Rhinolophus ferrumequinum: one gene and its partner. The protein of the gene in region 1 interacts with the protein of each later gene in a biochemical or structural test. Links are inferred from orthologs where the notes say so. Each region holds a gene or a part of one and is shown on either strand. Other genes may lie near its edges.

Region 1 (7,976 bases):
TTTCCCAATGTCTCCTCTGACTTACAGCTCCTAGCTGAGAAAAATTGAGAATGCATTCAATCCCAGAAGGCATTTACTTAAGCCTATCATTGCTAAACAGCAAATGAAAACCCTAAGGGATGCGTTAAAAGTACAGACTTCTCAGGAGAGCTGTCCCTGCCCGTTGGCTTGCAAAGACCGTCCTCTCACCATCCCCTCAAGTCCCCGTCAGAATGATGTTGGGTTAATGTTAGCCTTGTTACTGTTAACTGTCCTTTCACCTCTCTCCCAGCTGCTGCCCAGCAATGAAGCCGGGTAAGTAGAGAATTCATAGCACAGAACCCAGGGACCATGAAGAGGGGATGCCTCAGCACGTTGGATATGCTCTGGCTGTTTGCTGTTAGGGCCACAGTAAATTCTTTCTTTTCTGTGCCTCCAGGAAGCCTGACTGCGATGAGATTGAGCTCCAGCACAGCGTCTGGTTTGGACTGGTCTAAATAAATGTGTGGATTCTCAGTGCATAAGTGTCCATCTGTTTGAGCTTTTCCATATGGGAAAACCATTTAGGAAGTTGAAATTCTTTAGCCAGACTGTATGGAATCTTAGAACCCTCAGACTCCTCTTTCTCTTTCCATATCTACATTCTCTTCCACAAAGGTTTCTAACACTGTCTTGTCCCTAGATAATCATGACAGAGCTGAGTTCAACTCTATACAGTATGAGGTGCTGAAAGATGCTGAAGAAGACTTGCTCTCTTCCTCTCTGGGCTTTCCTGTAAAAGTTGCGTAACAGGATGCACATCTCTCACAGAGATCAGACAGCAGGACACACACACATATATACGTAGCTAATTAAGGACAGACCCCCCCCCAAGTCTTGAGGGCTGGGAGATACTGAAGAAATTGGAGCAGTCTCATTAAGCCCTCGAGAAAGAATTAAGCTGAGGTGCCCTTGCTTACGTTTGTTTTCATTCTTAAAACAAATAAGATACTGAAGGTATTCTGTGATGGAATCTGCAAAAGATAGCAACAATTCCTCCCATCCTAGTATGGGCATGGTACTCTTCCCACCAAGAGTTGGGGTCTATTTCTCCTCCTCTTGAATTGGGGCTGACCATGTGACCTGCTTTGACCAAAAGAATGTAGCGGAGGTGATGCTGGGCCCGTTCTGGGCTTAGACCTTAAGAGGTCAGGTTGTTTCTGCTTTTGCTTCTGGAAGTCAGCTCCCATATGAAGAATCTCGGGACAGATTACTGAATTATGAGAGGCCACATTATAGAGGACAACCAGGTATCCCAGCTGACAGCCAACACCACAGCTCTAGCTATGTGTGGCCACCTTGGACCCTTCATCCAAGCCTTATCTACTCCTTGTGGAGGGAAGACAAGTTGTCTCTGCAGAACCCTGCCCAAATTGTAAAATTATGAGCAGATAAATGGTTGCTGTGGTTTCACTGAATATCAGGGTGGTGTGTTACATGGTAATATATAACTGAAACAGCGCTCTATGCATCAGTCATTGAACTAAGTGCTTTGTCTCTTTTGATCTTCATTTTACAAATGAGTATGTTTAACCTTATAAATAGCTCCAAATATGCATCTGGTAAGTAGCAGAGCTAGGATTTGAAGCAGGTTTGTTTGACCTCAAGCATTCCCTATTTCCTCTCATCTCTCTTTTTTTTAAAGTATAATTTCCATTTTATTTTTCCCCCGAGAATATTTCTTCAGTCCTTAAGGACTTAGCTCCTTACATGGGCTTTGGTGGAGGTCGTGGGGCAGCACCCACAGGTCTAAATCGAGGTGGGGGTGTTCGGTCCTTCCGGGCTTCACAGGAACGATTCCTGACTACCTCGCTGTGAATGGCACAGCTCACACAGTAATGTAGTTTCACATACAGCTTGGGAAGCACATAGGCGTTGAAGACACTCGCTTCGGAAATGTCCCTAACAGCTGCTGCCTCTACCATGTTTCGAATGACGAACTTCTTAATGGCCTTGTACTTGGGCACGCATCGGGCACAGCTGGTGCAACGAATAGGCTGCACATGGTTGTGGCCCTTTTTGGCACTACCATTGTTTCTTCTTTTCTTGGTCATCTTGGAAGCGAGGACCCGAGAGAGGAGGCTCCTCTCATCTCTTTTACTCAGTGACTTCCACTGTAGTAGATATGGGCTTAAGAATGAAAAGATTTCCAGGATCCAGTAAATATTAGGCAAGATTTTGAGGAGGAAGGGGATGTGTTTGGGCTGAGAAGAGTGTAAAAGCCTTTTTTGTTCAGACTATTTTAAGGTCTATTTTAAGTTGAGGAAAAGTATCTTTTCTAGCCTTTCTCAACTGGAGTTCTATGAGAATTAAGACCCAATGTCCCAAGGCATCCACTGCATGTCATAAATTAACTTCTTCCTATGCATCTAGAATGTTACTAATTATGTACCATCCTTGGGAAACTTGAGAAAACAGTCACACAAATCATTTGTAGGGTCTAATGCACTTAAACCCTGCTGAGAATGTTAAGGGGTAGAGCAGAGTCCAGAGCCAACCAGCTCTCTCTACTCCTTCTAGCAGTACTCAGTCACTTTTTACATTTGACCCCTCACTTTATCTATGAAGCAAGGATTGTGACCATCAGTTTCATGGTTTGGATGATAATTATGACTATCAAGTACTCTCAGCTATGATGCCCTAAGCATCAGTTAGACCTCTGGCCTCAGCCCCCAGCCCCATGCCTCTGCTATTTGTTGAAGTACTCAATGACTATCCCTTAAAGTTCACCTATGCTCAACCTTCATGGTGAAGGAACAAAACCTTCTTTACACTGAACAAGACCCCTAATCACAGTTAATTCTTCTGCATTCAAGAAGACCTGCACTGGAATCCTTAATTTTTTTGATTTCTGTATTCATCACTTTGGAGTACCTTCTGAACTAAGGCCTACCATGTGCCTGGGCAGGAGTATAATTTCTTCATTAATTCACTTATTTATCATTTATCCAAAATCTTAAACACGTGTTCCTATGTATCATTTTGGGGTTGAGCTCCAGGGGATAAATATTTCCCAGATTAGTGGCCTTACACTGAGTGAAGAATTCTTGTACCTGAAATCTGTATTTTTCTGTCTTTGTTGTCATTTGGAAGAGAAAGTAGTTCTGCTTTTTTTTCCCCTGGTACTGCAACAGTTTTCAAAATCATAATTTGGCGATGGAAAAATGCAGATAAATTACCTTAGGAGAAACTAACTTCCCATTTGCCAAAACTGCTTCCCCCAATTACCTGAATATGGGTGAAGAAGTAAGTGCAGTTTCCCCACTCAAGCTGTTCCTAGGGAAAGAAAGAATGCAGTTAACTAACAAGTTCTTTCCCCCAGATCTCCACTTTGCCACTATTTGCCTGGAGAGGGAAGATACTGGCTCTGGTTTTCCCACCTCCATAGATCCTGAATCCTACAGGCAACTGAAATTTCACCTTCACTAGCAATCCTACGGAAAAAGAGGCAGTCCTCTTGTCTCAGCTCTTTCTCACATAAGCTTGCAAGTTCTGAGTCTCCCCACCCTTTCCCTTATCACCCCACTAAATTTCAAGGCTCCTTTGCTTCCAGTGGCGTTTATTACTGTAATATCTCACTCCTGCCAACCTCACTACCTCAACTTCACAGCTAAAAACGAGGAAGTAAACAAAAATGCCTATAAATGGCCCACAGATACTGGAGACTAGCGCTCAGGCTCTTTGTTTACAGGAAAGTTCTTCAGCCCATTTGTAGGACCTTTTTGATTTAATTTTTAGAACATTTCTAAACTCTGTTAACTGGTGACCCAGCCTATTCACAGGCAACACTTGGAAACAACAGAAAGAAAATCCCTAATAAGTGGGTTTATGTGTTTTACAAACACAGCTTTGAGTTTAGAGAGATAGCAAGTTACAAACACCCTCAAAAGCCCCTGACCTGCAGGGTATAAAACTTGATATTCGTAATTATCATCCAACCATGAAACTGACGGTCACGATCCTCGCTTCATAAATAAAGCGAGGGGTCAAATATAAAAATTGATTTGGGGTGGCCGGATGGCTCAGTTGGTTAGAGCACAGGTTCTCAACAACAAGGTTGCTGGTTCAATTCCCACATGGGATGGTACGCAGCCTCCTGCAACTAAGATTGAAACCTGCGACTGGACTTGGAGCTGAGCTGCGCCAACTAGACAGGACAACGACTTGGAGCTGATGGGCCCTGGAGAAACACACTGTTCCCCAACATTCCCCAATAAAATTTTTTTTAAATTTAAAATAAACAAATAAAAATTGATTCAAGCTTGCGTCACTTGTAAACGGAGGGGTCACGGTTGAATTTGAACCCCAATCTCCCTGTCTGAATCGCCCCGTCTGTAAAGACCGTTGTTTTCTTTACACCTTGGCTGCCTAAGGGTCTGAACGTTCTCTCCTAAAAAGCCATGGAAAACGTACTTCCTAGAGAACCTCGATATACCTAAAACATCAGTGTTTAGGTACTGCCGTAGCTTGGAAAAATCGCCACTGAGGAAATCTGGCAAACGCGGCGCTTGCATATGGAGTGAGTCTAAGGAAACGAATTTTCTCAGTCAGAGCGTTAGCTTTTGGGCCGACGGCAGCGAAAGGCATCAGGTGACCATGCCGGTCCCTGGGGCTACAAACCCCGGCTCCTCCTAGCAGTTCTGGGAGGGAGAGGAGAAGAAGGGATGACAGGGAGCGAAACCCACACTCATTGGCCAGCAAAGGCCTCCCGGGCACGCGCGCGCGCTCGCGACTCCCCCGCTTCAGCCCTTGGGTTGGAGTCTTTCTTGGAATGGCTAGCTCTCCAAACGGCCCCACCGGCGAACTTCCGGCCAGCGGCCCGCCGTCGCCCCGCCCTCTGGGGGGCGGGGGATGCTGGGATCCACCAATCACTGTGCAGAGGTGGTAGGAGTGGGTGGGGCGAAGAGATTCGAAAGGAGCCCCGCCCCCTCGGAGCTGATTCCCGGGACTGAGTTGTGCGGAGAAAGCACAGTTCACGGGAGGTGAGTGGGGGCGCGGAAAGTGAAAACTGAGGTTGAGCTGGAGGTGTGGCGTGGCTGTGGTGCTGCGGGGAGTGGAAAGGTGGCTTGGGGAGAGGAAGAACCCGGAGGATGGTGGCAGGGAGGAAAATAGGGCGCGCAGACCGCCCCCCAGTGAGGAGAGGCCGGGTCGCCTGGGGGACGGGAGGGCAATCTGCGGAGAGGATAGGAGTGCAGGGGGAGCTCTCCGCACCTTTCCGGGAGGTAACGGTAGTAACAGGGGCAGGTGCTGCTCCTAGGAAGCTTGCTTTATTTCCAGCATGACTCCCAACCCCCTGGCTTGCACCCTAGCTGAGAGCCTTGGGTAGGATGCAGATCTGAGGGAAGTATGTTTTCTCTCCAGTTCAGATCTAAGCTGACTCCTGCTCCTGCTGGCTGGAACATGGGAGATTTGCAGGAAGGTAAGGAAGCCCTGGAGGGAAAGCAGAGGCCCTGTGATGGAGAGCCATGTTAAGGACACAAGGCTGGCATTCATTCTTAACTCCCCTACAGATGTGAAGTTTATAGTGGATGAGACCTTGGACTTTGGAGGGCTGTCACCATCTGACAGGTACCACCAGCCTCTTTATCCTACTTACTTTCCTCCACCGATGGCTGTCTCTAGCCTCTTACTGGTGAATTTTTGGTCTCAAACCTGGGTCTCAAGGCTGGATGTGCTGGTGCTGCTGGGTGGCTGGTTCTCTTGGGCTTCTATGACACTACTCCTGGGCGAAGGGAGAAGCTGGACTGAGACTGCAGGGTGTTAAGAAAGAGGGGAAGTGGATTTGCTGCATCTTCATCCTGGCATAATTTCCAATGTCAGTAAATGCTAAAGGCTTATCAGACCTCACGGAACCCGGTCTCTCAAACCTAGAGGCCAGATCTCACAGCCAACATGGGCGTCAGGGTTTGGGGTTGTGTCTCTGGCTCTGCGCGGTTTTGCCCAGTCTCCCTTGTACAGTCTCCTGTTCTCTTCCATGGGGCACAGTGCCTGGTTTGTTTTCTGTCTCAGTCGTGAGGAGGAAGACATAGCAGTGTTGGTGACGTCAGAGAAACCCCTCCGACGCGGCCTCTCCCACCGAAGTGACCCAAATGCGGTGGCCCCCACCCCCCAGGGTCTGAGGTTCAGCTTAGGCCGCCTCAGCCCAGAGAAGCTGGAGGAGATTCTCGATGAGGCCAACAGGCTGGCAGCGCAGCTGGAGCAGTGTGCCCTGCAGGAGCAGGAGAGTACAGGCGCGGGCTCCGGGCCTCGAAGGGTGAAGCCTAGCCCTCGGCGGGAGACCTTTGTGCTGAAGGACAGTCCTGTCCGAGACCTGCTGCCCACTGTGAGCTCTTTGGCTCGGAGCACCCCCTCCCCAAGCAGCCTACCACCCCGACTGCGGAGCAGCGATAAGAAGGGGTCAGTCAGGGCTTTTCGGGCAACCTCTGGAAAGAGGCCCTCCAGCGTGAAGAGGGTGAGTTTGGAAGGTCTGGGCTGGATGTGTGCCCCCAGACACAGTGTGTGACTTGGTACAACCATGAAGTAGTTTCCTTGTTTGTCAAATGGAGATAGTAAAATTCTACCTCGTAGAATTATTGGAATTAAACGAAATACCATAAGCCATGCACTTACCACTGTGTGCATAGCTCTCTAATTCTGTAATAAGCTCTCAACAAATGGTACTAGTGATGATGATGATGTTGGCAGCTGACTTCTGCCATTCCTTACTGGGATCTAGGCAACTCTCCACCTCTATCCCTTAACCAGCCAGCAGAACAGATTCTTTTTCCATTCTAGTCGCTTTTTTTTTTCGTGTCTCTTTTTCTGTTTCAGGAGTCGCCCACTTGCAATCTGTTCCCCACATCCAAAAGCCCAGCATCTTCTCCTCTTTCCCGATCAACTCCTCCAATCCGGGGGAAAGCTGGGCCCCATGGGAGAGCAACAGCAAGTGAGAAGACCTGGGCAGCAAAGCTGTGGGTGAGTGGGAGTAGGGAGGATGTGGAACTTACCCTAAAATTCCTCTGTTGCTCTGCACCAGGCCCGCCTACCCCCGTGGTCAGACCAGTCTTGGCCCCACAGCCTTCTACCAGCAACTCTCAGCGCCCGTCTCGGCCACAGGGAGTAGCTGCTAAACCTTCCAGCCGACTGCCTGCTCCCTCGGCCATCCCCAGGCCTGCCAGCCAGGTGCCACTCACCAGCCGGAGTATACCACCCAGCAAAGGTGCCCTAGCTCCAGATTCTCTGTCAACTCGGAAAGGACTTCCAAGACCAAGCACCACAGGGCACAGAGGTGAGGAAGAATGGACAGTAAGGGTAAGAAGTCAGGAGGAAGAATACCTACTCTTGCCCACGTAAATCGTACCTCCCAGAGATGGTAACAATGACCACTTTCTCCATCTTCATTACAGCTCTATTTGAAGATGGCCAGACTGAGTTAAGGAGAGAATTTGGGCCTGGGCCAAGAGTTTTGAGTCTTGGTTTTCAAATACCGTGGGTGGGAGGAAAGGCAGTAATCCCAAACTCTGCCTTCATCCAGTATTTCTTTTGGGAAGGTCCCCTGAACTTGCTGCTAACTCGTTTCTTTTGCTAACTCCCATCAAGTTCCAGTTTCCCAGCGACCAAATCTTTCTGTCACTGGTACCACTCGCAGTAATCTGCAGCCCCCCAGGAAAGTTGCAGTTGCAGGACCTACCAGGTAAGACTGGTCGAGATGCTATCTCTTTCTCTACTGTCATCTGGGCTTCTGAGCTGTTATGTACAAGTCGTAGGTCAGTCCTGATTCCTGTGTGCCAAGCTGGGGACAAGGAGGGGAGCCTGGAGGGTCGGGGTGTCCCATGTCTTCCTACCCCAAGGAATTTGAACTCAGCCAGGTAACATATGGGCTTGAGGAAGAAGAGCAATAAAGCAGTTCCTCCTGTCTCTCTAGGTAAATAGATCAGGACAGCAAGCAAGAATTCAGTAGCAGACCACTACAGTCACTG
Region 2 (7,306 bases), on another chromosome or scaffold:
GATATAAACTTTATCTGACTTTAGACATTTTAGGGATAGTATGTACTTCTGTGTTACCAAAGTTAAATGTAACAAAATAGATATTGTTCGTGTCCTAATAGTAAGTAATTGTGAACCGTGTCACTTTAGGTATAAAGAAAATAATTATTGGCCATAGCACATTCAAAATGCATCACTGACTATCTTCAATTAAAATCAGTTATGTTCCCTATGTAATTATAAATCTATATTTGGTTATCAAATTCATCAGGTGGTTTGATTTTTTTTTTTTTTTTTTGGCTTTCAATACCATGTGGCTGGCAATAGAATTAACACAAAGTTAAGTGCCAGGTTGAAAAACATAAACCACCTAACTGGCCATGTTGGTAAATAAGTACCCAAATTAAATATTTTAAATGTTTGGCATAACCTAGACCAGCTATTCTTAATCATGCTAATATTGGAAACAGATGCTGACAACTTAGATATATATTCCCTAATCTCAGGAAAAGCATTAAAAGCTGAGAGAATCAATGAAATATCATTTAAGCAATGAGAATGAACTGGCTGGGGGAACACTCTCTTTACCTTATATGCTTGACTCACCACAGACCTACTCCCTATCATCTCAGGTGATGATACCTCGCAGACAGGAAAATATACTAGACGGAAATCTAAAGCAGACAAAATATTTAACAAAGAAGGACTGAATAGAAACTACATACTTCGCTTTTACCTTCAAAACACACTTCAAATATTTTAGCATTTTTTAAAAGGCCTAATCATTAGGCTGCATTTGGGTGAGTCACATACTTAAATAATGAAAATTGCCTTTAACTTTATAGACTTCAGCCTCGCTTTTACTGAGATGAAGTGGACCCTACATACACTTATCAAGGCTGGCCTATAATTCACTGTGGGACAGCCATTGGTAGACACTCATTTTCAACCCCTTTCAGTAGCACACACTCTCCTTTGGTTATCTGGTTTCAGGTCTCAAGAATATACAAGCCCTCAGAGCCCCTTAAAAGTATCTTTAACTATGTCTTGACAATTAGAAGAATCATGGAAGACGTTAATTTCTTTTTACGCAAGGCAGGAAGACCAGTGGAACAGAGTAAATCTAAGATTTCCTAACAACTTCTGCTATTTTAAGTACGTCTTTGTACCTAAAATTCCCTAAACAATCTGAGATATTAAAATAACTCTGAGATTAACAAGTCACTTTATACTCATGTTACTGGATGTTAGAAGTCATTCACTCGGCTAATTTCTGAATTAACTCATATAATTTCCCTAATATCCCCTCTTTAGAAATTACACGAATGTCCTAAACTTACCTTTAGTGTATTTTCAGAGGCAGCAACAACATATAGTAGTAGAAATGTGATCACACGAATTAGATGCTTACATTTCAATCTAACAAATTCTCTGTAAGGGTTTTGAAATGAGAAATCTTATTTATGAAGAGTGCAAAGAGAAAGCCTTAGGTTCTAAACACACTGAAACATTCCTTTGTTTTTAAATTCTTGAGTGTCAAATGAGTAACAAGATATTATGTAAAGTTTTGTAAGTTTTTCTAGAAAATCTGAGGTGCAACATACTATTTATCTTTTTGTAACAGTTTCAACGCCCATCTACATCTGTCACATTGAAACACACAAAAGCCTGAAGTGTTAATTACACATAAGTGCTTCAGGGAGACTACTGCTTTCATAGGATTAGATTCACTTTCCACTACGAAAAAGTCATATTATTTTCCAAAACTCATAAATTTCAGGTCATTACTGTACCTTCCTCTCCCAAACCCTTGTCAGTCAGGGAACTCAAAAGATATTCTGATGGAGGTAGAGGAAAGGTGACAGGAAGGATTAAGGGGAAAACAGAAAACTGGGATTTAATTAAAAAGCAGACTCATTTAGAATTAACAAGCAATTAAGAAGGAATTGAGGAATTCCTATGAGAGTAAAGGGGGGAACTACAAAAAGGTCTCAAAGTCTCAGAGCAGGGTAAATGGTGCAGTGTACCAAAAAGATAATGCAAAACACGGAAACACTATACAAATAGAAAGGAAGAAAATACGTTTTGGGGGTTGAGAAGTTACTAAAATGTTAAGAATCAGGGCGAAGGCAGCGTTTTTGTTTTTGCTGAGAAACTGGGGGCCAGGAAAGGGTTGCATGCCCAGGTAACCACCCTGAAAACAGAGCGCTGCTTAAGGAGGTAGGGGCCGAGAATAAACAACGGGGCAGGGCAGGGCTGGCTTGTTACCTTTATAGAGAATGATGGTCAGAAGCTCTCTTCTACTTCTCTGGTGGGTGGGCAGACCTCCTCCTGCTCTCTGGACTCCTCTAGCCAACTCAAACCTGGAAATCAGAAACCTGTGAGTGGTGCAGTGCCCGTGGGGCGGGGAGGAGGGGGCTTTGGGGAAGGGAGAGCAAAGGAAGAGAGTGGTACAGGCAGGCAGGAAGAAGCAGTGATTCTCCTCCCGCCCAGCCAGCCCCCTTCCCCTCGGGGAACATAACTGACTTTACCTGTCTCCTCAGCTGCTGCTTCTCTTCTTCCTTTCAGCCTCCTCCACACGCACCAACTTCTCCATTGAAGAAGCACCCCAAAGCAGGGCCGGACACGGGTGTTGCTGACCCTCCTCGGTGGCTCACGGCCCCAACCCCGCGAGCATCCAGACAGCTGAGCAGACGCGGAGAGGCAGTCCTGGCCGCGGGGCAGCCTCGGGGCAGGGGTGCAGGGAGGAAGTCCCGGCTCGGGTTGGGGGGGGGCAGTCCGGGTCTGAGGGCTCGGAGCAGGGGGCTGCCGCGCTCTGGGCCGGAGGCTCCCAGCTACCGGGTAACACGGGAGGTCTCGGAGCAGCGAGGTCCCGGGTCGTAAAGGGTCCGAAGTGTCAGCCGCGGGGGATCCAGGTAGGGGGCTTTCGGGATGCACTTTGCACTGGGCCACCCCCGCCCCCTCCCTCCAGCACTTTGGGGTCACTGGGATGGACCAAGCCTTCAGCAGCCAATCAGCGGCCGCACTAGAGCCTGAGCCTAGAGCCGTAAACCAGGTCCGGGGTGGGTGGAGGTGGGGGGTGGGGCGACTTGGTTGGTTGGTTGCTTCCTTCTCTCCTCCTTCCCCCTGGCAGCCCCCACCCCTTGCCTGCCGTAAAGCCGCCTGCGCATTCGCGACAGTGAGAGGAGGCGTGCCGATCGAGGCTGGGATTCATCTCCGATTGGCCTCCCTCACTTCCCCGTTGGCTTCCCCCCCGTGTCTTCCGATGCTCCGCCCCAGGCGGAGGGACTCAAAGCGGTTGCTAAGAGACACTGCACGCTCAATAGGGCCTCTGCGCATGCGGGAGGCGGGGCCAGCGTGAACTACGGTGGCCGGAGGGGGTCGGGCTTCGTTCGAATGGCGATGCGAAGGCAGAGTGGCTGGAGCGCCATGGAGCCCTGGCAGGTAACTGGGAGCTGCCCCTGAGCTCGGCGGCGGGGGAGGCGTGTGTGCGGCCGACTGAGAGAACGGCCCGAGGGTTCCAGGTGGAGGAGGCGGCAGTCGCCAGGACGCGAAGAGAGGGGGCGCCTCGTCCCGCCGCCCCTCGGCGCTTTTCGGTGGCGGGATGCTTGGCTTGGCTTTGGATTCCTTAGGCCCGTTAGCCAGCAGGCTGGGCGTACCCCCGCCTCACGTGGAAGAGAGGGCTGTTTGGGGGGGATGGCGGGGACGTTTCAAGGGCTTTTCTACGCGGAGAGCGGTTCGCACGGATTCCTGGGAGTGAAGGGGAAAGAGTGCAAGACGTGCGAGATGGACCCGTTTGCTGAGCGCGTTTCTTCATTTTAGCAAGTGGTTACGGGTCGGGCACTGTTCTGGTGAACCAGGTAAGTGCGGTGACTTGTCCCTGTGGACCTTTCACTTTAACCGGGGAGACAGAAAAGCGCACAATTAGCAGACAGAGGGGGAGGCTGTCCAAAAAATATCAAGCAGAAATAATGGGATGGAGTTTGACCCGGACGTGATGGCCACTGTGGATAGTGTCAGCAAAGGTGTCTGAGCAAGGGACAGTTGAGTAGGCATCTGAATGCGGAGGAGCCGGCCATGTCAAGATCGGGGGGGGGGGGGGGATTTTGCAGGCAGAGGGAACCAAAAGTACAAAACCTCTGACGCTGGAATACCCTTTGCCGTTTGTTTATAGGAACTGCAAGAAAGAAGGCCAGGCCAGGGTATTGAAGCGGAGGGGGGAAGGGGGACCATGGATGGGGATGCACTTGGGGGGGTGGGGTAGGACGAAGAGCTTCGATGCAGGACCTTGGAGGCCGTGGTAGGGAAGTTATAGCATCTTCTGTATGTTTTGAAAGCATCCCTGACTGCTCAAAGGAAAAGACTGGCGGGGAGCTGGGTGACTGCAACTATGGAAGGCTATTGTCCAGGCAAGACTCAGCCGTCCGACACCCCAGACATTTGGCTGCCACCAACGTTTTCAAAGAAAATTATGTCATTTCTAATTATATAAAAGAAGTGATTTCAACGTATCAGCTGCTTTTATGTAATAAAATATGTTGTTCTGTGGAAGATGGGGACCACTACAAACACTTTCAGTTTGCCCCGTGGTATATATTTTTTTACACTGTTAACTCATTTGTTCAAGAATACTCATTTGGGTGCCTCCCATGGGAGCTACCTGTTGGCTACGTAAGCAAGCTCAGTCCTGCCCCAGGAAGCTCACAGTCAAGTGTGAACCAAACTAGAAAATACCTTTGGACAGTGCGGTGAGATCAATACTGTGGGATAGGCTGAGAGAGCAATTGGCAGGGCCCTCAAACCCTGCTTGGATCTATGGAAGGCTCCATGGGGACTGGAGGTTTCCAAGTTGAAGGTTGAGAGTAGGAGGGAGACAACTGGGTATGATTTAGTCAGAAAGAATGGACTCTAAGCAAAGCACTGGGAAAGAACTCCGAGAAAGTCTGGAGCTTAGTTTTGGGGGCACTGAGGTGAGAAGACCCCAAGAGTCAGATCTTGAAGGGCCCGCTAAGCTGTGTTCAGAGGTTTGGATTTTATCCAAGGAAAGTGCAGAGGTTTTTTTCAGAAGAAAGTGGGTGTTGAGTAGGCCAAGAAATAACCACTTAGGCAAGGAATCTGCTGCAGTGTCCAGGGTAGATGTGCACTAAATAGTGGCTGTGCAGGTGGAGAGAGGTGGCATGAGGAAGGGTCCAGGAGGCCGTCTGGGTTTCTAGCTTGGGTGACTAGGAGATACAGATGCCATATACTGAGATACGGGCAGTGTAGGAGAAAACACGTTTAAGAGGCCATAGAACGAGTTGAGTTTGAGCTGAAGGTGCTTGTGGGACCCCCGAGTGGAACTCTCCAGGGGCGTTTAGATGCTTGAGTATAGAGACCAGAAGACAGACCCTAACTGGATTCTGAGGTTGTTAGCTTGGAGATTATTGTAACATTGTAATGTAGTGTGGAATCAGGAAGCTGGTGCCTCCAGCTTTATTCTTTCTCAAGGTTGCTTTGGCTACTCAGGGTGTTTTGTGGTTCCATGGAAATTTTAGGCTCATTTGCTCTATTTCTGTGAAAAATGCCATCGGAATTTTGGTAGGGATTGCATTGACTCTGTAGATTGCTTTGGGTAATACGGACATTTTAACAATATTAACTCCTCCGATCCATGAACAGGGACTATCTTTCTATTTATTTGTGTCTTTTTCAACTTGTTTCATTAAAATCTTATTCTATACAGGTCTTTCACCTGCTTTGTTAAATTTATTCATAGGTATTTTATCCTTTTTGATGCAATTGTAAATGAGTAAATAAGATTAAGATTGTTTTCTTAATTTCTCTTTCTGACATTGTTTGTGTATAGAAACACAACAGATTTTTGTATATTGCCTTTGTATCCTGCCACTTGACTGAATTTGTTTATTCTAACAGTTTTTTGGTGGTCTTTAGGGTTTTCTGTATATAATATGTCATCTGCATATAGTAACAGTTTTACTTCTTTTCTTTCTAATTTGGATGCCTTTTATTTCTTTTTCTTGCCTAATTGCTCTGGCTAGGATTTCCAATACTATGTTGAGTAGAAGTAGTGAGAGTGGGTACGTTTTTCTTGTTCCTGATCTTAAAGGAAAAGCTTTCAGTTTTTCACAATTGAGTGTGGTGTCAGCAGCAGGCTTGTCGTGTAGGACCTTTGTTATGTTCAGGCATGTTCCCTCCTTAACCACTTTGTTGAGAGTTTTTCTGATAAACATGTCGAATTTGCTCAGATGCTTTTTTTCTGCGTCTGTAGAGATGATCATATGCTTTTTATCCTTCATTTTGTTAATGAGGTGTATCACATGCACAGATTTGGGGATGTTGAACCATCTTTGCATCCCTGGAATAAGTCCCACTTGATCATGGTGTATGATCCTTTTAACACATTGGGTTACAAACCTGAATTAGGTTTGCTAATATTTCATTGAGAATTTTTTTGTGTATGTTCATCAGATAATATTGGCCTGTAATTTTCTTTTCTTGTGGTGTCTTTGTCTGCTTTTGGTATCCGGGTAATGCTGACCTTGTAAAATGAGTTTGGAAGCATTCCTTCCTCCTCTGGTTTTTTTTTTTTTGGAAGAGTTTGAGAAGGATTAGTATCATTTTTTTTTCTTTAAGTGTTTGGTAGAATTCACACTGAAACTATCTGGTCCTGGACTTTTGAGTGTTGGGAGGTTTTTGATTACGGATTCAATCTTAGTAGTAATCTGTTCATTCAGCTATTCTATTTTTTCATGATTCGGTCTTGAGAATGTTCCTAGGACCTTATTTCTTCAAGGCTGTCCAGTGTGTTGGCCCAGAAAACCATATTTAAGCTTAAAAGAAAAGGAAAAGTAGGTGGAAGAGCTTTCTAGGCAGAGGGAACAGCATTGTCTCAAGGTCCAGAGTCAGAAAGGAACCTTTCAGAGTGAATAAAGGAGTATTGGCATCCTCTCACTTAAGTTGTATAAAGGTTTTCACCATAAAAGCCCTGCGCTTTCTCAAATCTTTTAGTGTGTGCTACTTTGCTGAGGTGGGGTAGGTAACCTTATTTTTCAACTGGAAATCAAATCTGTTTTGTGTGTACAGTATTCAGAATTCAAAAATTAAGTAAAATGTCACATTTATAGACATTTGGTGGGGTTTTTTTGGTGGGGGGGCGGGGTGGGCAGGAGGAGGAATGGAAGGGGCCTCGATTGGTGAAAGGGAATGGGTGCAGAAACATTTTATTCTGAAGCCTCACTTAAAATGTAGAACCATATTTTAACAACTAAGAGTAGAAACGTTTTAGTTTTTTTGTTGATACACTAGAGATTTTCTATTTTTTAAACAA

What was found. The genes of interacting proteins can lie anywhere in the genome.
Region 2: of the proteins of PSRC1 (region 1) and ASB7, one has a biochemical effect on the other in vitro, tested with the Homo sapiens proteins (2 studies listed by BioGRID, with this or other methods). The link is inferred for Rhinolophus ferrumequinum from reciprocal best matches to the Homo sapiens genes PSRC1 and ASB7.

What each region holds. Positions count from the first base shown.
Region 1 is NC_046305.1:41,505,426-41,513,401, reverse strand, and holds the start of PSRC1 (proline/serine-rich coiled-coil protein 1), read left to right. Parts: upstream 1-4,933; 5' UTR 4,934-5,000; intron 5,001-5,366; exon of another isoform or gene 5,367-5,379; 5' UTR 5,380-5,418; coding exon 5,419-5,437; intron 5,438-5,528; coding exon 5,529-5,586; intron 5,587-6,027; coding exon 6,028-6,469; intron 6,470-6,828; coding exon 6,829-6,943; intron 6,944-7,033; coding exon 7,034-7,285; intron 7,286-7,596; coding exon 7,597-7,690; coding exon of another isoform or gene 7,691-7,694; intron 7,695-7,921; coding exon of another isoform or gene 7,922-7,925; exon of another isoform or gene 7,926-7,976. Other genes in the region: 40S ribosomal protein S26-like, read right to left, coding at 1,725-2,072. UniProt on the Homo sapiens protein: Required for normal progression through mitosis. Required for normal congress of chromosomes at the metaphase plate, and for normal rate of chromosomal segregation during anaphase. Plays a role in the regulation of mitotic spindle dynamics.
Region 2 is NC_046311.1:12,376,268-12,383,573, reverse strand, and holds the start of ASB7 (ankyrin repeat and SOCS box protein 7), read right to left. Parts: upstream 3,021-7,306; 5' UTR 2,511-3,020; intron 2,343-2,510; 5' UTR 2,248-2,342; intron 1-2,247. UniProt on the Homo sapiens protein: Probable substrate-recognition component of a SCF-like ECS (Elongin-Cullin-SOCS-box protein) E3 ubiquitin-protein ligase complex which mediates the ubiquitination and subsequent proteasomal degradation of target proteins.